Linked DNA regions of Mus musculus: region 1 is reported to be linked to region 2. The links are microRNA targets in miRTarBase. Many come from high-throughput screens and were not tested one by one. Region 2 holds a microRNA gene; the other region holds the end of a gene's coding sequence.
The links. Region 2 holds the annotated microRNA mmu-miR-376a-3p (AUCGUAGAGGAAAAUCCACGU, at 1,752-1,772, shown strand). A microRNA usually pairs through its seed, bases 2 to 8, with sites in the 3' UTR of a target mRNA and lowers its output. Matches are read on the target gene's strand: a 7mer-m8 pairs with bases 2 to 8, a 7mer-A1 pairs with bases 2 to 7 and ends in A, and an 8mer does both.

Region 1 (3,253 bases), not on the chromosome of region 2:
GGCCAGTCTGGGCAACATAGGAAGACCAGACACTCTCCCCTACCATAAATGAAATGTGTGGATTCTTTATAAAGTCATACAATTATGTAAACAAAACAGACTATTTTATTTGCAATGGCATTTGAATTCTAAACGCAAAAAGTCCATCTTTAAGAAGAAAACTAAGTGGCCTTCACTGGTGTGATGTTTTGCACATAATCTCCACAATGGCATGTGATATTTTTTCGATCTTAATGAGCTGCCAGACACTGGTATTACAGTCGACCTTAAGTAACTAGCATGCAAAAAACTGGTGTCAAGTGTTTCTGCGTTTTGGTTAATTACATCCTAGTTCAGAAGTACTAAAAAGGAGCAACGGGAATCCATTTACATTTCTAAACCTTAGGTACTAGGTTTTTGATGTTGCCATCCCATAACATGTTTAATTCCTCATATCTAAAAGTTGAAGCTACCAATAAGCAGGATTTTCGAAGCATTAAACCATGCCTGATTTGTATTACAAGTTATAAAGTTATGTACTTTCCACTTATAAACTCGCACCAAAACAAAAACGTTGCAGCACGACAACGAAATGGGAAGATTTGTTTTTCTTAGCAAGGGATTCTAGAGTGGCGTTATCACATAGTAAATGACAACTTAAAAAACTATCAGCCCAAGTTTCTGCTACACTTTTTACCGGCCCCACCACGATTTCTGCCCACCCTCCCGGGCCCACAAGGACCTAAGCGTGGCGCTGTGGACAACCTCTCGTCGCCCTCCGCCGCCGCCAACGTGAACTAACTGTCTCCGGGAAGCAGCCTCGGTGGCAGGGCCAGGTCTCGCGGCTGGCTTCCGGGAGCGCGCGCCCGCCCCCTACCCGCGCTGCGCTCCCCGTTCTCCGTTAGGCGCGCTCGCAAGGCTCGCTCAACAGCCAAGCGGAAGGGGCGGTCTTAAGGACAGCCCAGCGGAAGTGACGTGGCGGATAGAGGCGCACCGGAAGTGCTGTCACCAGGAAATCGTGTCATCGAATCTTGCTTCCAGGGCACATGGCTGGAGGGCTTCATTGCTGTCTTGTTTTATGTTTGGTAGCGTTTCTTTACGTAGCGCAGGCTGTCCTGGAACTCAGGATGCTGATTAGGCTGGCCTCGAACATAAGGTTTGCCTGGGACAAATGGCGAATGCCACCATGCTCAACCGGGTAGCGGCTTGCTTTTGCCCTGGTGACCAGGACCTGCTACCTCCATAGGGTGGGCGGGCGCGTACTTAGGGTCTCACCCACCAGGATCGAGTTCACAGCAAAACTGTTGAGGTTCCAGTCCTGACCCCATGGCCACATCGGTGCACAGCAGAGTCCTGGGTATCCAGAGGGGTGGACAAGGGATACCCACCAGGAATCTTGCCCTGTCCTAAACACCCCTATGCTGACACTGGTCACCACTCACTAATTAGCGTTCTCACAGCCCCAAAATCTTGTTATTACTACCTGATTATTAAACACTACCCAGGTAAGTGTCCTACCTACCAGACACAGCTGAGTTCTAACATTCATCCTCATGAAAGTGACGTCTTGATAAAGCATTCCCACCACTCCAGAGTTCTCTGAGAGCAGTATTTGCAGGCTACTTCCTTCTGCACTTAATTGGCTCAAAGTATTGAACAGTTGTAGCTACTAGGCATGAGCTCTAACCAACAACCTCCCAGAACAAAGCTGTATTGTCTACATACTGTCAAACATGAAATACAAAGGAAAAATATCTTGGGGTCCACAGATAGAGCTTAGTATTTAAAGGCCTTCAAATGTGGCCTCCCGGAACAGAGCAAACAGGCTCTATACTAGCCATGGTTTGAGATCCTGCTGAAATATAGCAAGAACTGAAAATGGTTCCCCACACCAAACCAGGTTAACACACGCATGCTCACTCATACCTGCAAAAGACACACACACATAAAAACTGAGAGGGGAGGTAGGATAATTTGTCACCAAGCTTGAAGAACTTCATTCAACCCCTGGAAGCCAGGGTGCTGGGGTATACCAATTCCTATAAAATTGTCCTGACCCCCACATGAGCCTCACACATACACAATAAATATACTCAAATATTCTTTAGTTTTATGTAGCATATCATGATCAAAACCACAGGGCCTTTTTAACCCTTCTTGGATCAAGTAGCCACGAAGTTTGGGCCTTTGCTTCACTCAAGATGGACTGTATGTAGTCCTGGTTGGCCTAGGGAGAGATTTATCCACCCCACCCCCTGCACTGCCATTAAAGTTGTATTTTAAAAGAGCTACATCCCAAACAAGGCTACCAGAAAACTTTGCACAACGTAATTACATAAACTCAAGAGAAACATTTTTTTATTGCTATCTCCACGATGGAAGAGAGAACAAAAGCCCATTTACCTAACAGGGTATAACTATTCAGTAGCCATGGTACAAAGGCGGCACTGCTCTATGACTTTTCAAATTGTTAACTTTATTTAAATTGAACAATATTTCTTAAAACTGCATTTAGCGTCAAGATCATTGATGAAAATCACCAGTATTTGTAAAGCAGAAACATTCATGTTAACAAAACTAGTTTTTACTTTGGAGCTTATTCTTTAAGCAAATTATGGAGAATGGAGAGAAAAGAAAGTAGGTTATTTACAGAAGATATCTACATATTTTATTTTAATATTTAAGAATACTCAGGTACAAACTTGGTGACAGAAAAGACCTCAGGACACGCTGGCATCTCAGGAGCAATCTTCAAAGGTTTAGTTTTCTCAATTTCTAGCAATGCCTAAGATGCTTCCTCATCTTCAATCTTGGGAGCCAAATAATACTTTAAGTGTCCCATGTCAGCAATTTTATACTCTACAACTGAAAGACAGGAAAAATTAAACCACCGAATACTATAAATACCACATTACAAAACAATGTTCAAACTTATCATCTTACCAAGGGGCACATCTGCAGACATACTGAGTGTTACTGTAGGAGACAGTGGAGTGGCTTTTGTGAAAAAGTTCAGGTACCTCAGAGCAAACGTTAGGTGAACAGGCTCATTCATCTCTATGGTTACCTAGAGGAGAAAACAGGCTCACTGTAGACATCAGAAACTCACACTATTAGATCACGGTATTATACCACAAAGCAAAACAAATAGTTATCATTTTGGAAGGGTTGATGAAAACCTTGACTAAAGAAGAAAAAAGTCTAGCTTGCCCATCCTGTAGAGCCACACCCCAAGCAATCAAAACAAAGGAGAAAGTTGTTCCTATTCAGATTG
Region 2 (3,253 bases):
CTATCCCCAACAGTGTCACACTAATGCATTGAGCCTGTGTGTTGGAGCCTTCTGGACTTAGCCCATTTCCTAGAAAACTTCCTTGATGTCTCCAGTGCTCCGTGGCACCTACGTGGATGCCCCAGCAGCCACCTTGATGACATCTCTCCCAAGGGTACCCAGGATGGGCTGTATGGGTGTGGAACTGGTTTTGGAAATCACAAGGGAACAGATTTCTTGTCATAAACTCTCTAAGAGGGGGTGGGGGTTTACAGTAACTCCCTACTAGGCTGTGTGACAACCAGGGCTATGTTTAACTGTACGGTGGGCTCTAGATACACTTCTGTCGCTCACTTTCTGATATTCAAAAGGTGAGTGCTCCTCTATGCCTCTGGTTAATCATAGAGGTAACACCCACATTTTCAGTATCTCAAGTGGTTCTGGGATGTTTCTGAATACAAAGTGCCCCCTAGGACAAAGCAGGTTATTCCAGTCTTCCCCCACCCAGAGAACAAAGGGAGAGATGGGTTCCACAGCCTGTGCTTTCCACAGCCAGGTTGTTCCTGGAATCTGTGTCCTCTGGGGGCTGTGCCGAGGGCGCCTGTCTGCTGCCTTCTTCATTTCTGACGGATTAGGCCTCGGCTCTTTCTCTTCAGGACTAAATCTTTTGGTATTTAAAAGGTGGATATTCCTTCTATGTTTATGCTTTTTGTGATTAAACATAGAGGAAATTTCACGTTTTCAGTGTCAAATGCTGCTGGGTAATGGGCCTGAGCTGAAGCCACCACCAGGGCAGTGACAGGACAGGTGCACCCTCTTGGGTAAGTGGGGGGTCAGTGGTCCACAGAGCATGTCCTCAGGTGCCCAAGGGCCAATGAGCAATCTTGAGAGCTTCCCTCATGGGCTGCCAACTCAGCCAGAGGTCAGGGGTCTCGTTCTGGAATCCCCCACAGCTAACAAGTCTTTCCCATTGTGTCCCTTCTGTCGCAGATAGGACTGTCCTATTGGATGTCCCAAGAGTTTAAGTCTGATATCTAAAAGGTAGATTTCCCTTCTGTGGTTTTATGTTTGCTGGTCAATCTGATGGGTTTGCCTGAGTTTTGAGTCTCATGTGCTTCCTGGGTGACATGATCCACCAGGGAGATGAGGCTGGGCGCAGTGCCCTCCTCGGTAAGTGGGAAGATGGTAAGCTGCAGAACATGTGTGTTTCTCATGTCATATGTCTGCTGACCATCACCTTTGGGTCTCTGCCTGTGGAGCCAGCTTGGCACAGAGGCCGAGGCGCCTTTCAACATTCTGTTTCCTCTGCCTGAGAAGCGGGGATTTTTTTTTTTTTTTTTGTCTTGTAATCTGTTTCAGATGAGCCAAGCAGCAAGCCTGGTCCTTCCCGGAACTCAGTCCTTCTTTGGTATTTAAAAGGTGGATATTCCTTCTATGGTTACGTGCTTCCTGGATAATCATAGAGGAACATCCACTTTTTCAGTATCAAATGTCGCTCTGGAACTATTTCTGGAAGATTCTGTAGGGTCTGGGGCTGGGGGGGAAGATCATGTAATAATGAGTGGGGCGTGGCCAGAAATGGCCTTAAGAAGCCAACTGAGTGTTAGTCTGATCTGGGTCTGATATACCGCCTCTTTGGGCAGCCTGCTCACTCTGCCCAGTGGACTTCCATTTCTGTCGACACAAGCACAAGCTCACAGCATCCTGGATCGAGTTGTTCTTTGATATTTAAAAGGTAGATTCTCCTTCTATGAGTACAATATTAATGACTAATCGTAGAGGAAAATCCACGTTTTCAGTATCAAATGCTGCTTGGGAAACCACCGAGGACATGACATCTTCACCGAAGAAAGCGTGCTATCCGTCGTCTTCCTGGGCTTGGCGGGGATAGATAGATTTGTGACTTGTGTGATGTGTGCCTATATGCCAGCCTCTCCCAGTGATGTGTTCTGAGACCACTGTGTTCTTTATATCCCTTCTCTGACCTCAAATGAAGTTGTTTCTCTGTGTGCTCACCATGTGTATGTTTTCTGGAGTCGGCTTCTTTTTTCTGTAGCGATATGTCTTGGAGAGCTCCTGGGTGGGCCATCATTTTGGGTAAGGGCGCCTTGGGTAACCCTTTGGGGGGTGTGCGGAGAAGGGGGGGCATGTGAATCATCTGGAAGTGTAACCTCCAAATGTGCCCCCTCAGGCTCACATCCGGACCGTCATCGCATCTGTCATCGCACCGGACCAGCTCTCCCCAGCGCTCCTTATCGTTTGCTACTTGAAGAGAGGTTATCCTTTGTGTGTTTGCTTTACGCGAAATGAATATGCAAGGGCAAGCTCTCTTCGAGGAGCAAATGCTGCCTGGAAGCATGGCTGGCGGCGGCCTGGGCCTAGCAGAAGGGTGTGGTCTCTCCAGGGTAAGTAAATGCATGGTGGGCCACCGAGCTTGAGCTCCTTCTTCGTCTGACCCTACAGATCTCACACATGCTTCTGAGAACTTTCTAGAAAAAAATGCTGATCCTAAGGGCTGTTCTTGGTAGAGCCTAGGAAACTGTGCCTCCCCTTCTGACAGCCCTTCGCAGTGTGGTGTGCATGCCAGGTCGTCTTCTAAGGCCAAAAGAGTGTCAGCAGCAAGCCAGTGCCCATTTAGATGTGGGTTTTCTGCCCACCATTGCCAACCTGTCCTTACAATCACCTTTAAGGCTTCCCATCCACTTAAGGGAAAGGGGGTTGGTGGATATCCAAAGTAAAGATGCTCCCAGAGGCTACCAAGACCATTAAGCCTCCTTCTCCAGGTGTCCTCTTCACCTTGTGTGTCACAGCATGAATTTATGTTAAGGTTGTCTAAAGAACCTTGGTTCTGGGGGTCGGGTGGAGGTGGGGCATCTCACCTCCCTCCGGTGAGCCTTGCATGGGTCTGATGTTTATAGTGATAAGTCTCCCATAGTCCTCTGAACTCCCCAAGAAGGGCAGAAGGAAGGTCCAGAGGTCTCCATACTGCTCCAGTTTGGGGAAGAGGGTGGGGGCTTTCAGAGAGCTAGTTTTCCGGTTTTTCTTCTTTCTTGAATGATGCATGTTGCTGTGCGTACTAATCCTGCTCTTTCGATGACCATCTGGAGGACTTCCTGGAGGCTGCAGCTGTGGGCACAGGTGGAGGCTTTCTTGCCAGGGTGGCTTTGCAGGCTCTGGAATGCCAATCATTCTCTGTCACTTTTTTGTTAAGTTACACAGAATCCCCACCCCCACCCCACCCCATGCCCATCCTCCCATGCCCCACCCTAGTCTT

Region 1: miRTarBase lists Pcna as a target of mmu-miR-376a-3p. The part of its 3' UTR that is shown has no 7-base or 8-base seed match.

What each region holds. Positions count from the first base shown.
Region 1 is chr2:132,246,852-132,250,104 of GRCm38, forward strand. Pcna (proliferating cell nuclear antigen) reads right to left here. Exons shown (of 6, transcript NM_011045.2): 5 at 2,923-3,046; 6 at 2,435-2,844. The coding sequence ends at 2,765. Tmem230 (transmembrane protein 230) reads right to left here and starts at 937. Exons shown (of 4, transcript NM_027478.3): 1 at 722-937.
Region 2 is chr12:109,722,073-109,725,325 of GRCm38, forward strand. It overlaps Mir376a (microRNA 376a), which reads left to right and starts at 1,709; the gene lies at 1,709-1,776. It overlaps Mir376c (microRNA 376c), which reads left to right and starts at 646; the gene lies at 646-731. Mir654 (microRNA 654) reads left to right here and starts at 1,146; the gene lies at 1,146-1,229. Mir376b (microRNA 376b) reads left to right here and starts at 1,386; the gene lies at 1,386-1,467. It also overlaps Mir300.